2 linked regions of the Schizosaccharomyces pombe genome follow. The gene in region 2 interacts genetically with the main gene of each other region. Each region holds a gene or a part of one and is shown on either strand. Other genes may lie near its edges.

The links. Genes that interact genetically often act in the same process or in processes that back each other up.
Region 1: of rrp2 (region 2) and ulp1, changing one suppresses a phenotype caused by changing the other (phenotypic suppression), as found in Schizosaccharomyces pombe (one study listed by BioGRID).

Annotation. Positions count from the first base shown.
Region 1 is NC_003423.3:2,365,307-2,369,732, reverse strand, and holds ulp1 (SUMO deconjugating enzyme Ulp1), read right to left. Parts: upstream 2,639-4,426; 5' UTR 2,617-2,638; coding exon 910-2,616; 3' UTR 670-909; coding exon of another isoform or gene 543-669; 3' UTR 540-542; downstream 1-539. Other genes in the region: pdc2 (topoisomerase II-associated deadenylation-dependent mRNA-decapping factor), read left to right, coding at 1-278, 317-487, 543-669; arrestin-related substrate adaptor for RhoGEF, Art1, read left to right, coding at 4,003-4,426.
Region 2 is NC_003423.3:3,838,032-3,844,650, reverse strand, and holds rrp2 (DNA translocase/ SUMO-targeted ubiquitin ligase E3), read right to left. Parts: upstream 5,083-6,619; 5' UTR 5,015-5,082; coding exon 1,892-5,014; 3' UTR 1,810-1,891; coding exon of another isoform or gene 1,091-1,809; 3' UTR 1,045-1,090; coding exon of another isoform or gene 903-1,044; 3' UTR 546-902; downstream 1-545. Other genes in the region: U3 snoRNP-associated protein Utp10, read left to right, coding at 1-204; protein N-terminal amidase nta1, read left to right, coding at 903-1,044, 1,091-1,809.

The DNA of each region.
Region 1 (4,426 bases), 1.5 Mb from region 2:
GTCCTTAGGGGAACATTTGACGTTAACGGTGAGCTGCCTTTGGACGTTGTTTCCGAAATGAGTTCTTTCACGCAGTTCATCATCCCTCCATTGCTCACTATTGTTAATGAACTTGATTTGGAAACTATAAATAACTTATTTTCTCAACTTCTCAATCGCACTAATGCTGTTTATTTAATACAGACGAAGATTGGTTTGTCGTTCCTTACTCTATTCATTAGTCGCGCAGAAATTTTAAAGCAATCTGGCACTGTAAATCAAAATGAAAAAGAAGAATGGTACGTTATACATGTATTTACAGCATCTAACTATTTAGGGAAAATACATTCAATGTTATGTTTAATCGCGTAAAAGGTCATTTCTCGACGGTATTCCCACCACCTAACGCTCGAGCTTATGCTGATGAATCTTATCCATGGGAATTCTTAGCAGCTTGTGCTACTGCTGCTAGCTCTGAACAACATTTTACATTGGTTTCTGAAACTAGGTACGTTAAAATATGTCTAGTCGAGTTTTTGTACTAACAAATATGTAAAAAATAGGGACAGAGTACTTGATAACATCATTACTAGCAAACGGGCACCTTCTGAAATTGCTGTTGTGCGCATCAGCAATGTTAATTTGTTTTTAAATGCAATGGGGCTCGACGCTCGTCAGCTCAGCGCTTAAGTTTGTTTATAAGATATGCGGGTATTTTTTTTTTCAAAAGCTATATTTGCTGAGATTCCTGGATTCAGATTTATTAATTAGAGTATTCCCTGCTACTTAAAAAATGCATACGCTCTAATATAGATTTAAGTAAATTATGTCCTTTTTGAAAACGCTGAATATGAAATAAAATGTATTGAACGAGAAAGAAATTAATATAAAAAACGATAAGTATATAGACAAAAAGTTTATAGCACATATTTAATAGATTTGTGCATCAATAATACTAGCTGCCATTTTGATTCGTAGTTCAGGCATATCATTTTGACTAAACTGAACAGGAACATTTCTAGATACACATTCAGCAGTTTTACAAGCAAAAACTCCACAATCATGTCCATTTCGTTGTCTTGGAGAATTGTCATCCATAAAATTTTCCCAATCTGACACGTCGACGGCACCTTTTGTTTCTGCAATATAATAGTCGCGCAACAAATCAAAAACTTTACCAGGGCTTCCGGCCAGCGAGTCCCAGTATTCAAATCGTTTCTTCGATTTGTTAATAACAGCCATACACCAGTGGACATCCAGATGTACTGGTATAAATACAGCATCCATATCTGCAATATTAACGCGTGCCTTTTTGGCCCATCTTCGAACACCCGCGTATCCACGGCGCTGCAAAGATGTATAAAAAAAAGTATTAAACCCATGTACCCGAGGTAAGGATGAATCAATTTTAGAGCGTTCCGAAATCAAATTCATGTAAAAATTAATTACCTCGTCATTTAACCATTGTCTATTCCGCAGAGTATGCAAGTCTTTAAGCGTGATTGGAATATTAAATTTGGTGATGATGGGTTCAGAAGAGGAAACAGAATTGCTTTGGTTTAAATATTTCAGTGCACGCTTTCGAGCATTATCAGGAAACTCAAGTTCCGGAATGAACTTGGGGCGAGTGGGGGGTGGAGATATTTCCAAACCTTTTAATTGTAAAAAGTCAACTTCGTTCCAATCTTGAAAAGATTCTGTTTGCTTTTCTTTCAAATCTCGAATTAGCAACAGTAATGATTTTTCATTTTGGATATCAGAAGTAACGATATTCCGCGCTGGTTGCTGATCAGATTGAACGAACCTAAAAGAGGCTTTCCGAGACGTTGAATCATGAGGACTTTTCTTTCTTAACGTAGCCGTAAAAGGAAGGTGTTTATATCTGGCGTGTTCGCTAACAACATCTAGCTGCTTGTCCGGTGTAACAATGTCAGAGTTTGGATTTGGAGAGGAGTTCGTAAAGTGCAGAGGAGAAGAAGAGAAAGGTGTAGGATTAAAAGAGTTTATTTCGTCAGCCTCAACGGAATTACCGTGGGATAATGTCGATGAAGTTGTTTCCTTAAAAACCGCAAGCTGTAACCGATTACTAACAGATAAATTTTTGGAAGACCGATGAGGTCGGGGGAAGTATCTCGAACGAGACACACGAAAGCTTGATGGAGATAATGCTTCGTCATGGATGTTTTGAGAATGCGTGTCAGAGGCAGGGGAAAATAGATTTTGAAGAGCAATGGGATCCAAAAATTTTTCATCCTTACTAGAATTTGTATATGAATGAGAAACGGTAGGTTTACTATTTCTGTCAAGAGTATTGTGAGAAGACATATCAGATTCGACCGTCACGTAACCACGTTCAGTCTTGGAATTTATGTGAGAAAACCGAGATTCAGGGGCTTTAGTAGAAGGCTCTAGTTTTGAATTTGTACTATTACTATTAGATGGTATCGCCTCGCCAGCGATGCGATCCAATTCAGAAATGGGAGTTTTTGTCAAAAAAAGTTTTGCATAAGTAACTGTACGAGAACAAATATTAACAAACGTGTTCAAAAATGTCTTTTTACGTTTCCTTTGATACTCTTCATATGTAATACAATCATCCTGACGCGTCCTTTTTGACGCATTGCGTTTTCCTATCATTCACGAGTGAATTGTAAAGGGTGAATCGCGAGAGGCTGTGACACACAACAACCTGGAAGGATGAGCGCGTTCTTGCTTACGTTGTGAAAATACCTCGTTATACGAGTATTGCGGTATTTACTGTAAACAAACTACTTTTTGTGTTTATATTACAATGTTTGGCTTTCGAGCCGCTAGCTTTGCTTGTAAGATTTTAAATTATGTTGCTTAACATGTAAGTGTCCGTTTATCTTTAGGGCCTACTGTGTTTGATTTCATTACACTAAAATCCTACTTCAATGTGGGCTATCACTACTTTTAGCCGTGAGAAGCTTACAAGTATATTAATGTAAATTAAATATCATATTGCTTTTATAAAATATACATTCATGACAGTACACTGTGTTACTCTTTTAAGCGTTTAATAAGTAAGTGGTAGCGTATCGCTACTAGTAAATTGTTTTAAGTTCTGATATATGCCCTGAAAATGAAAAGATAAATCGGAAAATGTGAGTTAGTTTTATACAAACCATTTAACACTTCCTGAAGGGATCTTTGAATGAACAGAAAGCCCTATATTCAGGTTATCCTTCAAACAATCATTATTTCCTAGATAGAAAAGAGTCGTACATCAGCAATGAATTTCCTCAATTATCGCCGGGGTTTTTTATCATACTACGGCTCATATAACTATCAAAAATTAGCATTACCAGTTGCTCTTGATTCTTGTTTTTCTCGATTTTGAATTTTTTGTTATGCATTGTCTGTTAACTATGCGTGAAATATCTGTTCTTTTAGAGATTCGTTTGATTTTTAGTAAAATAGTATTTACTTGCTTTATTTCCCTTTCTTCTGCTGCTCAATAATCTGATATCTTGCTATATTGTTTTCGTTTGAATTCAGTCTCTCTTCTATATTTCGTATATGTATGTTGCGATCAATCGTGTGTTATGGTTTCAAAAATTCAAAAATTCAAAAAAAAAGCCTTCTGCTGTAAGAATAAACATATTTTAGGCTTTCGTAAGTGAATTTTAAGTTGAAAATACCAATTTCAAAATTAGGCTATTAAAGTCATTTTAGTTTTTACTATTGTAATCAAAATGGAACTTTTTTACAACAGATACTAGCTTTAGATGCTTGGCTATCAATTGTAGGCTTTTGATTTTAATTCTATGGAATGGAAACAAAAGTACATTTTTTGGCCTAAAATTAGATTTTTATATAATAAAATATTATTAATTTCATTGCTATAAAAAGTCACTTAGCAGTGTTTAAGCGAGTGCTTAAAAGATTTTATTTAGCTATCTAGATCTGACATTGCTGCACTGAACCAACCTGTCTACCATTTGGTAGATTCAACTTCCCATAACCAGCACCAAGCCAGAGGAACTCACTAAATGTAAGAGCATGACATCCCCGTGTACGCTAATACGGCAATTTTCTCCTTTGGAGATACGTCCGTTACCACATTTGGATTTCCAAGCTGGATTTAATGGGATACCAACTTCAGCTCCAAGGTTGGTTGGTATCGTCCAAGTTCGAAGTAAAGAAATTCACCAACCTTTGGCTTTGGTTCAAATAACGTTAGAATTATGGAAAATTGAATCAGTGGTAATACCATCCTTGGGTATAAGTAATCACTTATCAGATAATAAGTGTCTGGCAAGGCAGGTTTTGTTTCCACTTCATTCCGAGCATCCTGAAAATAACATACCTCCTAATGATAATAATTATTCTATCAGCGATTTGTCTATCAAATCACCTCCACCCTCCCTTACTAGCGATTGGATAGTAGATTCTTATGCGTCTGATCAGGATAATCCTTCTGTTC
Region 2 (6,619 bases):
CGCTTATTAGCTATCCAAATACAGACACAGCTTTACGGGCGCCTTGGTGAGAATTGGATTTCTACATTGCCTCAATCAGTACCATTTATTGCTGAACTAATGGAAGATGATGATGATCAGGTTGAAACTGCTACGGCTGAGCTCGTGCGGATAATAGATGACCGTCTCGGTGAGAATGAATCCCTCCAAGATTACCTTACATAAGGATTGTAGAGGTTGTGGGTCCGTTTTTCACAGGCTGAGTTTTAAACGGAATCTTTCGTTTTCTAAATTTTTCATTCTAAAAAAAATAATTATTGATTCGTTATGAATATATACGCTTTCGTCTAATCCCTGCCAAAAAAAAAGGAAAAGACGATCATGTTGATTGCAATCCATAATGGGTCTTCTCATCAATGACCTTTAGGGTTGTATTCATCAATTCTCAATTATCTTGGGATTATAAATAGTTTGGTTGGTTTCGGTTTCATAATACTATAAATTAAGAGAGAAATTTTTGCAGTTTACAAATGTTTGACAGCAGCAAAATAATTTTGAAGTTTAAACCAGTGTATTAAAACCCAGTAAATTTCATTGAAGTATCGAAATATTGTATATCTGAGCGACTTCGTAAAGTGCAATCATCCTACATAGCAGTAATCTAGTGGAACGGCATACGTCTTTAAATTTGCTTAAGTCAGTTTTTGTCTAGGAAATGGTGATTTGGCCAGTTTCTTGTCGGTCTTTTATATACAAGAGATAAAATTCTAATTCCATTTATCTATCGAATTGGTAAAAAAAAGCCTCGCTAAGGACTTGTTTAAGAGTTTGCCACTTCGATGTCATAAAAACGGTCAACACTTCTCAATTTAAAATTTGTTTGTACTACTAGTGCATCCTTTTAAACAGCAACGACAGTACTAATGAAGTTTGGATGTGTACAATTTTTTCCCAAGTTGGGAAAGGTGAACGAAAACATCGTTCATCTTCGCCAGCTTTTGGATCAACATTCTGAAGCATTACAGTCTGTTAAGCTATTGGTTTTCCCTGAAATGTGCTTAACTGGTGGGTGGTCTTTATTATTAAGAAGAGTTAGCTAACTTTCCTGTAGGCTACAATTTTAAAAATTCAGAAAGTATACAACCCTTTTTAGAAAACGTAACTAGCAATCATTGTCCAAGCATTCAATTTGCTCAAGAAGTCTCTGAGCAATATCGGTGCTACACCATCATTGGATTTCCTGAGTTTCAAAACTCAAACGGCATTTCTACTCTTTACAATAGTACAGCTCTCATTTCTCCCAAAAAAGAGTTGTTGAACGTTTACCACAAGCACTTTCTTTTTGAAACAGACAAATCATGGGCCACTGAAGGCAAGGGTTTCTCTTTTGAACCCTGTATTCCTGAACTGGGCCCTATTTCAATGGCAATTTGTATGGACATTAACCCGTATGATTTTAAAGCTCCTTTTGAGAAGTTTGAATATGCAAACTTCATTTTGCGTGAGCTAGAGCATCAACAAATGGTTTCTTCGAATGTATCACGACCAATTATTTGTTTAAGTATGGCATGGCTTGTGTCAGATGATAAAGTCATTGATGCTTCCCTGCCCGACATCAAAAATTTACATTACTGGACCACTAGACTTTCACCGTTAATAAATTCGAATACGGATGCAATCGTTCTTGTAGCAAATCGGTGGGGAAAGGAGAATGATTTAAATTTTTCCGGTACCTCTTGTATTATGGAACTTTCTCAAGGAAGAGCTATCTTACATGGTGTCTTGAAAGCTGCTGAGAATGGAATTGTAGTTGGAGAACTTGAAAAATAAAGATGTGCGACGTTTTTTATTTCTATTCATGAAAACATATTATATAATACATATTGGTTTTAATAAGCCTGTTAAATTTCTATTATCGTGATGACATTCCAAATAAAAATGACAACTCCTTTGTATTCAGACGTGAAATTTCTCTAAGCCCTTTTTCCCCTAAAGCGCTATCTATTAGTTCTCTCTTTCTGTCTTGTAAGGCTAAAACTCGCTCTTCAATCGTGTTATTAGTAACAATTCGTAAAATATTTACCGGTTTATCTTGTCCAATTCTATGTGCTCGATCGACAGCCTGTTCTTCGATATAAGGATTCCAAAATGGATCGAGTATGATGACATGATTTGCACAAGTCAAGTTTAACCCGACATTTCCTGCTTTTAAAGAGATCAGTAAAACTCTCACGTTCGGATCAACTTCAAAATTAATAAGAGCTTGATTTCTTTCCGCTGTGCTTAGACCACCAGTATACATAAGATATTTTATACCCTCTTGTCGAAAGGGTACCGTAAAAAGCTCAAGAAAAGAAACAAACTGTGAAAATATTAAAATTTTGTCAGTTGGCTGTTTCTTGATGATTTCTTTAACTGCATTTAATGCTTTTTCAATTTTTGTAGAAGTGGTCCAATGTTTAGGATCCGTAAAGATCTTCATACCCATTTGTCTATTCTCTAAGATATTACTATACTGTTTAGGTAGCAATTCGGAAATGTTTTCTGTTCTTAATTTGTTATCGGCATCGACAATAGGTGCCATTCCAGAATATCGTCTAAATAATGCGTAACTCAAAAGCCTTTCAGTATCGATGTACTCCTCGCAAACTGAGCACTTAGGAGAAATATTTTCGTTGCTTGTTTGCTTAGCCATATCCTCACTGGATGTAATAACATGGGTTAAGCACTCTCTACATAGAAAATGACCGCAAGGCACAATTATCAAAAGTTCTGCAACAACATCCATACATAAGGAGCATTGCAACGTTTCAATTAACTTAAGGCGATTGACAGCCTCGGGATATATTTGGTTGTAGATTGCACGATTCTTAGCTTGAAAGCTATCGTTATCATCAACCGCTGCTTCTCGAGCAACAATTAGCCAGGGATGACAACAAGCCTGTCGAAGTCTCAAAAGTAATACTAGTAGACTACCGTAATGCGTAGTTATAGTCCCTTCTTGAAGATATTTACGCATTTGAATTTGTGCTCCGCTTTGAAGCGTATTGTAAAATTCCATCTCAGAAGAAGAGAGGTCTGTTTCAGATTTGACGGCGGTTTTTGGAGGAAGTGTCAATATTGGCTTGCCATCAATCTTTGTATTTTTCGTTCTACGAAGTAGCACTGCTTTTAATAAGCCACGAAAGCGCTTCATAGGAGCGGACGTGTTTATATTGCTACTTAAAGGAATGGTAAAGTCCTTTGAAAAACTTGACCAGTCTGAATAAGGTTTAATCCTCAGAAATTTTATCAAGCTGTAGAACTCCTCAACCCCATTCTGCATAGGGGTACCACTCAAACACCAACGATAAGTTGATTCTAATAGACAGCATCCACGAGCAGCTAACGTATTCCTGTTTTTGATAGTTTGAGCTTCATCCAATATAACTCGATACCACTCTGCTTCAAAAAATGGAAGGTGTTCAAATTTTTTTATTGGAGCGTTATCTTCGATACTCTTGTCATAAGCCATTTTGTTTTTAAACTCGTAAGCGATGACATTATAAGTAGTCAAAACAATGTCATACGACATCAATTGTTCAGCAATTTTGTGCTTTTTCGAACTTCCGTGATGAATATAAACAGTGGGTCTATGTGAGGGAGCAATTTTAGTAAGTATTTCATTATGCCATTGCTGTAATAGCGACACAGGGGTGATAATCAGAGTTGTTTTAACTGATTTAGATTCTGGAGGCCTTGTTACTAGCAATGCAAGAGCCTGGACAGTTTTTCCTAGACCCATATCATCTGCCAAAATCCCTCCTTTCTTAGAGCTTTCTTCTAATCTTTTTAACCACATTAGTCCTTCCTTTTGGTGTTCCATTAATGTAGGTATTAGTCCAGCAGGTGTACCTTCGCGAATTGTTGGATCGTTGACAAGCTGCTCATCAAGATCTTTGAACAACTCCTCCAACTGTTGTTGCTGATCATCTTGAACTTTCTGGTTATTTGAGTCTGACAAATTGAATCCTTCAATATTGTGAAATCTATCGTGATACCATTGAAGGTGGAATAAGTGTTTACCAGGTTCGGGTAGCTTGGAATCATGCAACAAACCACCCGGAAGAATGACTGAATCCGAGCCATAACGCTTATTCTGAAAATTAATTTCGTTATCTTCTTCGTCTGATAAAGAGATCGGATTATTAGAAGTTCCTTTTCCTTGAAGAAACTTATCATCTTCTAAAGTGTGAGTTGTGTTAAACATCTTATAATTATTATGATGATGAAAAGGAGGAAGAGCTAAAGAATTGGTATAAGAAGGTCCAGCCGTAGATAAAACTGGTAACGAAGGTAACTCTAGTTTTTTCCTTTTCGAATTCATAAACGCAAGCTCTAAATTCCTTTTTTCCTTCATATTAACTTTATCATGGTCGTTCAGTGAAGATTTCGTCCGAACATTATTATCATCGGATTCAGAGTCAGATACGACAATCACAGCATTGTCGTTCCAAAACAAAGAGTCCTGTTTTTGTTCAAAAAGTGCATCAGATTGACTCGGACTAAGCTTATCTGTTGAAGAACTAATTTCGTTTTGCAAAGAGTGGCCATCAACATCAATAGTAATTGCATTGATGTTTGGACGATCAAGCCCAATTTTAGGAGCAATTAAAGTGGCATCCGTGTAAGTAGAATCATTATTTTCAACGGAAAGAGAACTGTTCAGCTTCTCTTCATTAGGCTTTAATGCAATCACACTATTGTCATTAGGAAAAAGGCCATTCACTTTTTCTATGTTAGATTCCATCGTATTTAAAGAGGACGATGAATCATGCATAAAGGCATTGAATAGCGCCTGTTTTCGATTAAGAAAAGCAATTCTCCTTTCCATTTCATGTCTGTTTATATCATTTTTTAACAATTGGTCAGACGATGCAGAAGAAGAATAGTCCGGGGTATTATTTTTATTGAACCCAATGTTATGTTTGTCATCTAAAGGTATTTGTTCACATGGATTTAACGTAAATTGTTCAAAAGCTGTATTATTTCTCATAAATTAGCAAAAAAATGCTTTGTGTTTAAAATGTAGTGTGTAATTTTAGGTAGGCAAACTGGTGTGGTGATACTCAGTCGCCCCAAAAGTTTAGAATAAGTACCAAATGTAAGTTAACAAGGGTAAATGTGTACATGAATTTGTGATCATTCGAAATGGAAGGAAAGAAATTAAATTTTTTAAATCATAAAAAATTCTTATTATAATAATTTCTGTTTTGGGAGAGTTTTATAAAAATGCTGATCAGTAAACCTGAAAGAAATCAAAGGGGTATTGAAGAGTCATCTGTATACATATTTTATAAAAACAGAACTGTGAAACTTTTAAATCCTTGAAAAATGTTAGTAGCGAGATGAAAATGGACGGAATAAATAAATAAATTGAGAGCATTTTTAACCCAGTTCTAATTTGTCATTGTAGTATTAAAAGCGATTTTAAAAATTTTTGATGTTTCTTGCTTAGTTTCCCAAGCAGCATTTTGCAAATTTTCTAATTAAACGTTTCAAATAGCTTAAGCATCGTCCGTGCAGTATCAAAGCAGCTGTAAATTGTTTTAATAAACAAATATTTTAATTAATGTTTTTATATGTTCTACTTTCTTCTAAAGTTGTTTCCCCCTAAATTCAACTAATCTATATGAATACTGTTACATACCCATGCATTTTAAGCTATATGGCTTTACTTAATACCTAAATTTCTTTTTTTTTTTTTTTTTTTTTTTTTTAAATTAAAAATATTCATTACCTTTTTCCTAATTACTTTGTCTTTAAAGTGCAATGCGTAGGTATTGATAGCAGAACCAAATTTCAAAACTATTATTATTTGTATTTCTAAATTTATAATGGTATCTTTCATTAAAAATTGATCAAGTAGTGTCGCTTGAATTCTCTTTAGCGGCTTACTATTCAATATTTATATGACTGAGTGTTGGCGCTTAACCTCTAATGTATTTAGCCAGGTGGATACAAAGACAAACAACTGTATGAAAAATGAAAGTTTATAGAATTAATGGAAACGGTGAAAGCAAAATTTAAGCTGTCTCTAAACCTACAAATTCGCATTTTTCTTTTGCCAGCACCATATGACGCATCCGTAGGATCTGCACATTTCAAGCAACGTAAATCATTTACCTCATTTTACTACTATGACTGAAGCGATGGAACCCTGCGCAGGAATCCAAAACTGCATAAGAAAAGAAATTCAAAAGACATAATTAATAACATGGTTGCACAAATAAAATTCAAAAAAATACTTATGTAAATGAAAAACCTTAAAAAAATCAATAATTTATAATTGCATAAATAGATTGCCTAACAATGTGCTGATAGATAAGTCAACTTACCTACGCTACAACATCGAAACCCCGTATTTGAACAATTCCTTTGTTTCCTTTGTCCTTGTGCTTATATTATTTCTCATTTTCTTATATTTTAATTGAGCTACATATAGAAAGTAATATCGAGGGAATTGCGTCAAATTTGAGTTAAAAATTGCATTTTGATTTTGAAGTTAGCATTTCGCTTTTTTTTTTTTTTGAGGTCTTTTATTTTAATATTTTCTTCTCTTTCTTTTTGCTCGTAGGTTTAAAGCGCAATTGCTGTTATT